3 linked regions of the Oryctolagus cuniculus genome follow. The protein of the gene in region 1 purifies or fractionates together with the protein of each later gene. This does not show direct contact. Links are inferred from orthologs where the notes say so. Each region holds a gene or a part of one and is shown on either strand. Other genes may lie near its edges. The genes, in order: CLK2, ACIN1 and PSME3.

Region 1 (3,959 bases):
TCCCAGCTGCTCCACCAGGTCCTTAGGCCGCTGCACCCACGTGGGAGACCCAGAAGAAGCTCCTGGCTTCATATTGGTGCATCTCTGGCCTTTGCGGCCACTTGGGGTGTGAATCAGCAGATAGAAGATCTCTCTCTCTCTGCCTTTCAAATAAAACTTTTTCTATATGCACCCTTGATAACAGAATTTGAAGAAATGTGAGATGATAAATCATTCGAATGGTACAGAAATAAGAAACAGTTTAGAAATGCTTATTTTTATATTAAATATTTGAAATCTAATGATTTGTACATAAAGTTCAGTAATATAAAAAAAAACTTTATGCCTGGTACAATACTGGATACATAATGGACATGTAGCAAATGCTTGTTGGATGAATGAATGATTTAGGAAACTGTTCATGATGGAGTGAGATCTCTCCTTTATCAATTCCTTCATTATCATTCCTTTTTCTTCTTCTTCTAGATTTATTCTATTTATTTGAAAGCCTGAGTTACAGAGTGGGGAAGGAGAGACAGGCAGACAGACAGACTTCCATATGCTGGTTCCTCCCCAAATGGCCACAACAGCTGGTCTGGGCCAGGCTGAAGCCAGGAGCTTCTTCCGGGTCTCCCACGAGGGTGCAGGGGCCCTGGGACTTGGGTCATCCTCCACCGCTATCCCAGGCCATTAGCAGAGAGCTGGATCAAAAGTGGAGCAGCCGGGACTCTGGAACTGATGCCCATATGGGACGCATGAGTTGCAGGCCAGCAATTAGGCCACAAAGCAGGCCCCTACCTTTCCTTTTCCTACGTAAAGGCATTTCTAAACCACTTCTAGTTAATGATGTAATCTCCATCTGACTATCCCCAATCTGACAGTCTGACTTAGTTATCCTGCGGTTGTTTTATTTTCCTTTCTGACCACTTCCTCCTATAGCGTCTGTAGCTCTGCCCAGGTTGCCTCAACGTCTTCTCTTTTCCATTCTTTTTTTCGTACATGCAAAGCACGAGAGATACTCTTCGCGTACCCAACGGATGATTCTCCGTTCCTCCGTTAGCTCAGCCCTCCACGCCCTGCCCTCACACGTGCGTAACTTTGTTCAGGACAAAAGGTGGAGCCTCTCCGCGGAGGTTAGCTAGGTGAACTACATTAGAAATGGGTATTTTCGGGCTATCCCAGAGAGTCGGATCTCACCAAGCCTCACGGGACTGAGTTTTGCCGACATCTCGTAAATGACAACCCTTTCTTTTAAATTTCTAAACCCAAGCACGCCACAGATGCGCCCCTGGAAAGAGCCAGAGGAGGGAACGGGAAAGGACAAGAGGCGGGGCGTGGCGAGCCTGGCGGGCATCCGGCGCGGCCCGGCGGCCGCTCCCCGCCCCCATGAACTTCCGCCCCCACCGCCCGGGCCTGACAGGCGGACGCCGCGAGCTCCCGGAGCACGTGGTGGCGCGCGCGGCCCTGGGGGCGGAGCCAGGGGGTAGATGGGAAGCGACGCAGGACGTGGTGCGTGCGTACGTGCTCGCTCACAGCGGCGGCGGCGGAGCGGAGAGGCCAGAGCCGGAGACCGAGCTGGGATCGGGCCCCGGGCGGGGGCGGTGCGAGCGGCGCCAAGCGGATCCTGGGGGCGGGGACGGAGCCGGGGCGGGCGGGACTGGAGCGGAGCCTGGGAACGGGCGGGAGGTCCCAGGGTCTCGGGTTGGGGGGGTGGAGCCGCACTTCGTCGCCGCGGGGGTGCCGGGACTCCGGCCGCAGTGCCGCCGCCATCACGGACTTCCTGTGGGACAAGCGCACGGGCCTCGCCGCCAGAACGGTGAGCGCCCGGGCTGGCGGGCCGCGGGGCCTCGCGGGAAGATGGCGACCGCGGGACGGGCGGGGATAGGGTTGGACGGGGGTGAAGGGACGGAGCCGAGCTCAGGCGGCACGGAGGGCTGAGACCTGCGAAGCGGCAGAGTCGGGAGAGGTGGAGGAAGGAGGTCGGTCCGCCGCGGGTGGCTGCGGCAGATCCGTAGGAAACTCGGGAGAGAGAAGTAGGAGGAGGGGTGGTGGAGTAGGGAGGGGAGTGGTCCCAGAATATCCAAGCTGGCCTGAGGTTTCCACAGCTGCAGAGGGGGAAGCCCCACCGTGTCCCTCGGAGCCTCCGGGAGGAGTTTGTAGGAGTTAGTTGTAGATTTTCTGGGTGAGAAAGGGAGAAGCTAGGGATGCCTTGTTGGGGGTGGGGGGAGGGAAGGCCTGTGAGGCACTTGGGTGATGGCGTGTACGTGGTGAGATGGCATTTATGTGGCTGTGCTAATCAAGGTAGAACCTTGTGCATACCTCTTGGTTTCCTGCCAGCCCGTCAGGCCAGGAATGCATCCGATATCACCGTTTTCTCTTTGAGAAGAAGTTCAGAGTGGGAGCCTGCATTGGAGTCATTAAAACCTTTTGCACACCCGTATTTCCACCCCCTGCCTTGTGTTCCCTCGGCCTGTTTCTGTTCAAGCTGCTCTCCTGTTCTCTTCCTGGATCATAGCTGATTTTTTTTTCCTTGAAGGAAATAAAGAATTCTTGAGCTATACCATTCCGATTCCAATCATTGGAAAGTAGCCACTCTCATCCAAATAGTGCTGCTACTAATTTTAAAAGTTTCTGTCTACTTCCTAAGCCCGCGAGAGCAAAGGTCAACTGGGAAGCTGGCTGTGGGTTGGCAGCTACTGTATTCAAACCTCTCAAGGAGGATTTGGCTGGGGATGTGAGTGCACGTTCCTGGAGCTTCTTGGATTAGCGTGTAGCTGCTGTATGTAGACACCTGGGAACTGCACTTGTGTGCTCAGGGTACTGGTGGCCTGGGTGTAGTTGGAGAGAGAATACACACTGTAACCGAATGCTGTGGTACTGGTGACTCGTGAGGGGTTCTGCGTCACGCGGATCCACACCTGAGACCCCAGCTAGGGGTGACTGAAGCATTCACTGTCTGCCAGTCACGCTGTCACCTGTAACAAGCTACGGCCTAGGCCGGAGAGTCTTCAGGGAGCCATGGTTGAGAACGATCAGTGTGGCACAGTTGAATTTGACATGGGGGGTAGTTATAAAGGGTACGTTTGGGTGGTGCTTTCTAGAGTTTTTGGCCAGTTAGTAGGTGACATGTTCCAGAAAGGAGGAATTGTAAGCACTGAGGAAGCTGTGGGTGATAGACGCAGCAGAGAGCAGGTTAGCATCTCTGGAGCAGCCAGTTCTGGGGAGGCACGGGGACAGGGCTTTCTTCACTATTTCCACTTTTCCTTGCCTTCCAGATGCCTCATCCCCGAAGGTACCACTCCTCAGAGCGAGGCAGCCGGGGCAGTTACCACGAGCACTATCGGAGCCGAAAGCATAAGCGTCGAAGAAGCCGCTCCTGGTCCAGTAGCAGTGACCGGACGAGGCGGCGCCGGCGGGAAGACAGCTACCATGTCCGTTCCCGAAGGTGAGGCCTCAAGGAGAGAGCCGGACTCGCGGCCACTCATTCCTCCGTTCAGCAAGGGCTGGTGCTGAGCAGGTGGCTGAATGTGGTGCCCAAGGTGGCGATGCTCAGGGAGGGGCTGCGGGCGCACCCGGCAGGATGGGTGGGTCGGGGAAGCTGCAGAGAAGGCGCCATTGTCCTCCAGACAAGCAGGAGTCAAATGCCTGTACCTTCAGAGGGAGAGGATTGTGCGCAGAGGACTGGGAGCCGAGGTAGCTAATACTAATGGATTCAGAGAGCGTATTATATCTGTGTATTCGGTAGTTAGTGCTTAGTTTTAATTATTTTTTTTAGAGATTTACTTATCTGAAAGGCAGAGATGCAGAGAAAGAGATCTTCCATCGACTGGTTCACTCCCCAAATAGTCAAGGCTGGGCCAGGCCAGAGCCAGGAGCCTCTTCTGGGTCTCCCATGTGTTGATTCATGCTCCAAATCCCCACAATAGACAGCTAAGCCAGGAACTCTGTATTTCCCGTGTAGGTAGCAGGGATAAAAATAC
Region 2 (3,859 bases), on another chromosome or scaffold:
GGTATGATGTTAGGTAATTATTTGATTAAAGCTGTACAATGTGATGTTAAATGAGACAATAAAAAGCATCAAAATGGTAAAAAAAAAAAAATCCTACTAGCTGATACTGGGTTAGTTCTTCACCCTGCTTTCTAGATGTTCTGTTTATATTATAAAAACTTGAATCTAAGAAATTAACTGAGGGGCCAGCGTTGTGGTGCACCAGGTTAATGCCCTGGCCTGAAGCACCAGCATCCCATATGGGCACCGCTTCTAGTCCTGGCTGTTCCACTTCCGATCCAGCTCTCTGCTATGGCCTGGGAAAGCAGTAGAAGATGGCCCAAGTCCTTGGGCCCCTGCACCCGCATGGGAGACCTGGAAGAAGTTCCTGGCTCCTGGCTTCAGATCAGCACAGCTCCGGCCGTTGCAGCCAATTGGGGATTGAACCATCAGATGGAAACCTCTCTCTCTCTACTTCTCTCTCTGTGTAACTCTGACTTTCAAATAAATAAATAAACCTTTAAAAAAAAAAGAAAGAGGCCGGCGCCACGGCTCAATAGGCTAATCTTCCACCTAGCGGCGCCAGCACACCAGGTTCTAGTCCCGGTCGGGGCGCCAGATTCTGTCCCGGTTGCCCCTCTTCCAGGCCAGCTCTCTGCTGTGGCCCGGGAAGACAGTGGAGGATGGCCCAAGTGCTTAGGCCCTGCACCCCATGGGAGACCAGGAGAAGCACCTGGCTCCTGCCATCAGATCAGCGTGGTGTGCCAGCCGCAGCGCACCAGCCGTGGCGGCCATTGGAGGGTGAACCAACGGCAAAAGGAAGACCTTTCTCTCTGTCTCTCTCTCTCTCACTGTCCACTCTGCCTGTCAAAAAAAAGAAAAAAGAAAAAAAAAAAAGAAAAGAAAGAAATTAACTGGAAGCAACTTCATTCTTAATTTCCCTTGGGTTTTTTTGTTGTTGTTGCCCTAAGCATATTACTCATGCTTGTCTCCAGTCATACTTGTCTTCTGTGTTGCAGAAAATGTGTGTGGTTGTTTCTTCTTCCTAGGGGTGTCTAATAAGATACTTTTTCTCTTTTGATTGTGAACAAACATGTTTGGAACCATTGTGTATCTTTTCTTTTAGGCAAGAGCTGCAAAAGTCTCTGAGTGCACTGCTGAGGAGGAAGATCAAGAAACACCTTCTAGAAATCTGAGGGTTAGAGCAGATCGAAATTTGAAAACAGAGGAGGAAGAGGAAGAAGAGGAAGATGAGGAGGAAGATGAAGAAGAGGAAGATGATGATAATGAGGGACAAAAACCTAGGGAAGTACCAATCTTAAAACAGTTTGAGGAAGAAGAGGGGGAAGAGATGGCCAGAGCAACACCAGAAGAGGTAATGGATGAAAGACACAAAACTGTAAGGTCCCAGGAACAGGAGGGTTTAGAGAGAGGAGGAAGAGTTACAAGATCCCAGGAAGAAGCCAGAAAAAGTCATCTAGCCAGACAGCAGCAGGAAAGAGAGATGAAGACAGCGTCTCCCCTTGAGGAAGAAGAAAGAGAAATAAAATCTTCACAAAACTTGGAGGAAAAATCCAAATCGCCTTCCCCTCCTCGACTGACTGAAGATCTCGAGAAAGCCCCTCTTGTGCTGCAGCCAGAGCTAACAGTCAGTGAGGAGGAAACTCCCCCACCTTTACTTACCAAGGAAGCATCTTCTCCACCACCTCGTGCACAACTCCAGAGTGAAGAAATCGAGCCCATGGAAGGCCCAGCACCCCCTGTCCTCATTCAGTTATCTCCTCCTAATACAGATGCTGAGAACAGGGAGCTGTTAGTAGCTCAGCATCCTGTCCAGTTGGTGGGAAGCCTGTCTCCTTTGTCAAGTCCTGCAGACACCAAAGCAGAATCTCCCACAGAGAAAGTGCCAGAGGAGAGTGCCCTGCCTCTAGGTCAGAGGAGCACACTGGCTCAGTACCCAACCCAGAAGGCTCTTGAAACTGACTCAGAAAAATCTGCTCAGCCACTCCCTCTAAAAATCCAGGAATTAACACCGGCCAAGGGAATCACAGAGCAGTCTGTGAGGCAGCTGTCCTTGGAACAGAAGGAAGGCAGAAGGGCTTCTCACCCTCTTCTGCTGGGGCACAGATTGAAACAGTCAGCTGATTCATCCTCTAGCCGCTCGTCCTCATCTTCATCCTCCAGTTCTAGGTCCAGATCTCGCTCTCCTGACAGTTCAGGCTCTCCATCTCACTCACCTCCGAGGTCCAAGCAGAGAGATGTATCCCAGGCACATGTTCACACCAACCCTCGTGGTAGACCCAAGATGGACTCCAGATCAACATCAGAGTCCCGGTCCCGGTCCCGGTCCCGGTCCCGTTCAGCATCAAGCAACAGCAGAAAAGTGAGTGTGAGAGAATCCCAGGTTGATGTTCTGTCCGTACACCAGTGTGTTTTCAGCCCCTGTAGTGTCTATCATGATTCCTGACAGTTACAGGAAAAGCCTGACTTTCCTCTAACTTCAGAATCTAATTTTCAATTCATTGATTACTAAATGGGGTTCCTTTTCTTCCTGAGCGGGTTCCTTTGATTCCAGAGAATGTTGAGTCCATTTCTTCATCTCCTCCACTAAATGTAAACTTCTGCGGGGTGTGGACAAGCTTCTGTGTGTGTGTATACTGGTACCCAGCATCTAGATGGAACCTAATGAATAATAGTGAGGCAAGGGAGATTACTAGCTCAGGAAAAAACACAGGGCCAGAAAGATCAAAGTATTCTCTTGGGTCAGCAGAAGTTGGAAAATTCAGTGGTCTACTGAATATATACCATGTATTTTCCTTTATGTGTGTTTCATCTCTTCAGTCACTGAGCCCTGGAGTCTCCAGGGACAGCAGCACCAGCTTCATGGAAACCAAAGATCCCTCTTCTGGTCAGGAGATTGCAACTCCACCAGTGCCACAACTACAGGTCCTTGAGCCAAAGGAGAGGACTTCCACCTCCTCATCCTCTATCCATGTGAGGCATCTGAGCCAGCCTGAGCCAGCGGAAAAGCATGTGACCCAGAGGTTACAGCCTGAGCGGGTAGGCTACTGTGACCTTCCCTTGAGGGAGATGAAGGATTAGGCACGATTTTCTCTTTCGTCTTAACTTTAAAACTGAGTTGTATCGACAAGCTTTAGTGGAAATGGAGAGAGTTGGGAATACCTAATATTCCTGCTTACCTCCTTTCCTACTCCCTGGTTCAAGAAAGCTGTACATGAGGCTGAACAACAGGGTCCTCATCTTCAGGGTGCTCTGGGTCACTTCTCCCTAAGAAGTCCTTTTGTCTGCCCAAAAGGAAGCCTTTTCTCAGTTCTCTCAAAAAGTAATTCTAATAAAATGACTGTTGGCACAGAGGTTCTTCAGGTACCATATTCCATTCCATATTCTAAAACGAAATTGTAAAGATGCAGAGGGCTGCATGTGGAGCTGCTAGCTGGTACTGAGTATGTGCTGCCCTGCCATTTTCCAGCTCTTGGTTAACGAAAAGGAACCAAACAGATTTAAGTAGTTTGCTGTTTGTTTTTGCTGTCACCTGACAGGGGAGCCCAAAGAAGTGTGAAGCTGAAGAGGCAGAGCCACCAGCTGCCACACAGCCCCAGACCTCAGAGACTCAGACCTCTCATCTACCAGAATCAGGAAGGATTCAGCACACTGTGTAAGTGTTGTGTCTCAACTGGGCTATAGCAAGAACTACAAGCAGGGGATAGTCTGCTCCCTAGGGGTCTTTGACTAGGCATTCCTAGTCTGTTTTCCATTATGAAGGCAGAGCTTTTATCTGAACAAATGTTAGACTTAATTACTACTTCAGGACCTGCCACCAGAACTCTTAAGGTATTCTGAGAAGTGATGGTCAGGGCAT
Region 3 (3,959 bases), on another chromosome or scaffold:
CACCCCCCCCCCCCGCAACTCTGCCTTTCAAATAAATAGGCCTTGTTTTTCAAAAAAACATACATGCAAACGAATGGGTGAAGAGTGCGCCTTAGGCCTCCGTTAGGAAAACGGATAAGGCACCGCCCTAGCAGTCAGGAGAGCCGGCTTGCGGGGGCCCCCGCGGACCTGGGACACGCCCTGCACTAATCCAGCCATCAGTGTGCCCATTACGTAGTTGACCTCTGAGGTCTGGAAGCGTATGGTACAATGAAAGGTGTTTGTCTCTAGCCACAGCACTTGAGCTGCGGCCAACGGGAAAAGGTAGCGGGAATCACAGACTAAAATCCCGAACTCGGCACCCGGGCCACCCGCTTCCTCCGGCCGACGTCACTGGGGCGCGACGGAGTCGTCTGGCGGGCAGCTGCGACCTGAGAATCCCTTCGGGGAAGGCGAATCGGGGCCAACAGAAAGCCAAACAGTCCCCGAGTCTCTTGAAAGCTCAGTTCTCAAAAAACCAACTCCTACCACCTTCCCTTTTGCTTCACTCTCAGCCAGCTTAGCAGCCGGCCGCGACCAGTCCCAGTCGCAGAGCCCCCAGCCCGACAGACAGCGCGCCTGCGCAGAGTACGCGCGCATCCTCGCGGGAGCCCCGGCGATTGGCTGTGACGTAACTTCCGGCGTGAGCGGCGAAAGCCGGGAGGGCGAGGGAGAGTGCGAGCAGGCAGCAGGCAGCAGGCGGGCAGGCGGACGGACCGCACGGAAGGAGGGAGCGAGCGAGCAGTGAGTGAGCTAGAGACGGCGGCCGGGTCCCGAGGGCAGCCGGAATTCCTCAGGTCCCCCTGGCCCCTCCCCGGAGCCCACAGCGCCTCCGGTCTCCAGCGGAGCGGACACGGCCCGGCCCGGCCATGGCCTCGTTGCTGAAGGTGGATCAGGAAGTGAAGCTCAAGGTAGCGGCACCGGTCCGGGCCTTCTCACCCCTCGCTTCTGTCCCCCAGCCGTCTGACCGCCTCCCTACTCCCCGTGGTGTCTTTGTCTCCCTGGGGACACCGGCTCGGAGCTTCCGCCCGGCTCAGCCCAGCCCCCCACGCCCGGAGACGGCCTTAGGGGGAAGGGTATTACAGAGAGGCCTTCCGTCCCCGCGTCTGGTGATGGAGAACCCGGGGAGACCTCTGCAGGCACGTGTTGGAGTCATTGCTTTCGGCCGGTGACAGCTGGGAGTCCCCCAGCCCAGCGACGCCCCCGCCCCGGGGGCGCTGCCCCTGCCCTTGGCGGCTGGCCCGCTTCCTGTCATAGGCCAGGTGTGAGGTGGGCTAGGCACGTTTGTGATCTCACATCCCCGCATCTCCCTGTCTTTGTCAAATTCAGACAGCTTCAGACGCAGGGAGGGAGGGGAGAGGAGACAGGCGGGTGCTGTCTCCGAGCCCCGCTTTCCTCTCCTGAGATGGAGAAATGGATCCTCAAAAAAATAAAGTATTTGCAGTCTGGGGGCCTCTCAGCTTCTCATTACAATCGCCAGGTGAGGGGCAGAGAGCTGGGTTTGGGATTCCCCATCCTGTCCTTACCTCTGTTGCCAGGTACTGAATTGCTCTTCCTGAATTGCTGTCTTTGTTCTTTTTAGGTTGATTCTTTCAGGGAGCGGATCACAAGTGAGGTGAGTGAAATGGAGAAATGCGTATTGATTAGGAGTTGGGAGTTTCCCCAAGAGGAGGTGATTGCAGAGGGAGCCCTTCCCTCTGTCATTAATTCAGTTGTATTTTCCCTTATCTAGGCAGAAGACTTGGTGGCAAATTTTTTCCCAAAGAAGTTGTTAGAACTTGATAGTTTTTTGAAGGTGAGAGACACTTTGCTTACTTCAGTTCCCCAGCGTCTTCAGGCCTGCCCTTTCTGTCAGATGGAACCAGTTGTGTGCTGACTCTGTTTTGTTTTGTGCTGTAAAGCACTCTCACGGCTTGCCCTTCCAGTGAAATGGTTCTTTGTTCAGCTTGAAAAGACCAATGTTTTGAGGGTGGGCCTGTCTCTTTCAGGAACCAATCCTAAACATCCATGACCTAACTCAGATCCACTCGGACATGAATCTCCCGGTCCCTGACCCCATTCTGCTCACCAATAGCCACGATGGACTGGATGGTGTAAGTGGCCCGTGTTTATCTTTGTGTTCTGAAGCAATAGGTTCTCTGTTTTCTAGTTCCTGGGGAGCTGGAACATACGTCGGGGGATGGTGGCATTGGGGTCTGGCATGATGGCTCCAGGATACTTTCAGACCCTGATGTGCATGTCTAAAACGAGGTGAATGCGCCCCAGGGAGTCTCAGTGCACTAACCTGGCCACAGGCCCCCGTCGCTTCCCAGGCTGAACAGGCTCCTCTTGCCTCCGCTTCACGGCCTTGAGTCTCGTGGCTGAGGCGCTTGCCGTGGAGTCGCAGACCCTGCCTTTTCCGTGCAGTCACCATCTGCGTCCTCTTAGCACACCGATGACGCTTTGTTCTTTGTCAGCGTCTCCTCGGTAGAACTTGCACGTCTGCAGGCGGGAACTGTCTTCATTGTCCTCGTGTCCTCGGCACCTAGCTTTGTTCCCAGTGCCCAGCGATTGCTGAATTCTTGTTAACTGAATATGGTGTTCCCTCATGGAACCAGCAAGTTTGTACATATCCCCTTAATTATCCTCACCGTGCCTCGATTGGTTCCTTTTTCCTGCTCTTTATAGTGTCCTCCCTTTCCCCCAGTTGCTTAAAGTGTTGTGTTTCTTGCAAGGTTGTTGCTTGGTGGCAAGAACATTTCTTCAGGCTTTATATGTACTTGGGAAATTATGCAGAAAAGAACAGGACAACCTACAGGGTCAAGGAACAGTTGACTTGCTTGAAGGGTGTCTTGTGGGTGTGTACGGCAGGCTGATTCCTGCCTCTTTGTGTCCTTAGCCCACTTACAAGAAGCGAAGATTGGATGAGTGTGACGAGGCCTTCCAAGGTAAGAGCCACCCCGGTGCCCCCTGACCTCCCCCTGACCGCCTGACCGCTTGCCCTGGGAAGTAGGATGGATCTGGCGTTCCCTCAGCCCAGAAGCAAGACCTGCTTTCCCAGAGCCAGTGTTCCCAAGTCCCCCGGACAGGGGCGTCATTTAGCATTGACCTCGTGTGGGCCGCTGAGGGGGAGTGGTTGGAGCAGCAGCCCACACAGCTCGCGCGGGTCAGAGAAGCCCCAGTGCCATGTTACTTATTTCCTTCTCAGCAGTAGTTGTTGATGTGTTCCGTCTTTAAGGTGTTTATTTATTTTTAAAGATTTATTTTATTTATCTTTAAAGATTTACTTTGTTTATTTGAAAGGCAGAATTAGAGATCTGTCCTCTGGAACAGACACAATGGCTGGGGCTTGGCTAGGCCGAAGCCAGGAGCTTCTTCCAGGTCTTTTACGTGGGGCAGGGGCCCAAGCACTTGGGTCATCTTCTGTTGCTTTTTTAGCAGGGAGCTGGGTTGGAAGTGGAGCAGCGAGGACTGAAACCAGTGCCCATATGGGATGCTGCTGTTGGCTTAACCTGCTGTGCCACAGTGCTGGCCCCATTTTAACGTTCTTGTTCTTAGACTTCGGGCATACTTTGGATGCTTATCTACTGAGCTGTGCATCTCTGATTCTGTCAGTGGTGCCGTGGTAGGACTGTGACAGATGAAGGGCAGCGGTCAGAGCCCTCACTGGCCTGGGAAGGAGAGTGGAAGATGCCCCGGCCTCCCTCCTGCCTAATCATTCGACCTTCCCATCCCTGCCAGGAACCAAGGTGTTTGTGATGCCCAATGGGATGCTAAAAAGCAACCAGCAGCTGGTCGACATTATTGAGAAAGTGAAACCTGAGATCCGGCTGCTGATCGAGAAATGTAACACGGTGAGGCAGGGGCTAGTGACCCGTGGGCTCACTGCGGGTAGCCCCACTGACACCATGAGACTGGTGGGTGAGGGGCTGGGGGCGTGGCGCTGGGGTGGGCTGCTGGCA

What was found.
Region 2: the proteins of CLK2 (region 1) and ACIN1 purify together in Homo sapiens (affinity purification with mass spectrometry; 3 studies listed by BioGRID and IntAct, counting the BioPlex papers as one, with this or other methods). This does not show direct contact. The link is inferred for Oryctolagus cuniculus from reciprocal best matches to the Homo sapiens genes CLK2 and ACIN1.
Region 3: the proteins of CLK2 (region 1) and PSME3 purify together in Homo sapiens (affinity purification with mass spectrometry; 3 studies listed by BioGRID and IntAct, with this or other methods). This does not show direct contact. The link is inferred for Oryctolagus cuniculus from reciprocal best matches to the Homo sapiens genes CLK2 and PSME3.

What each region holds. Positions count from the first base shown.
Region 1 is NC_091438.1:43,283,293-43,287,251, forward strand, and holds the start of CLK2 (dual specificity protein kinase CLK2), read left to right. Parts: upstream 1-1,498; 5' UTR 1,499-1,795; intron 1,796-3,254; coding exon 3,255-3,424; intron 3,425-3,959. UniProt on the Homo sapiens protein: Dual specificity kinase acting on both serine/threonine and tyrosine-containing substrates. Phosphorylates serine- and arginine-rich (SR) proteins of the spliceosomal complex.
Region 2 is NC_091443.1:51,938,903-51,942,761, forward strand, and holds part of ACIN1 (apoptotic chromatin condensation inducer in the nucleus), read left to right. Parts: intron 1-1,105; coding exon 1,106-2,362; intron 2,363-2,820; coding exon 2,821-3,039; intron 3,040-3,539; coding exon 3,540-3,655; intron 3,656-3,859.
Region 3 is NC_091448.1:20,081,989-20,085,947, reverse strand, and holds the start of PSME3 (proteasome activator complex subunit 3), read left to right. Parts: upstream 1-1,352; 5' UTR 1,353-1,423; coding exon 1,424-1,498; intron 1,499-1,600; coding exon 1,601-1,633; intron 1,634-1,750; coding exon 1,751-1,813; intron 1,814-2,006; coding exon 2,007-2,111; intron 2,112-2,896; coding exon 2,897-2,945; intron 2,946-3,738; coding exon 3,739-3,851; intron 3,852-3,959. UniProt on the Homo sapiens protein: Subunit of the 11S REG-gamma (also called PA28-gamma) proteasome regulator, a doughnut-shaped homoheptamer which associates with the proteasome. 11S REG-gamma activates the trypsin-like catalytic subunit of the proteasome but inhibits the chymotrypsin-like and postglutamyl-preferring (PGPH) subunits.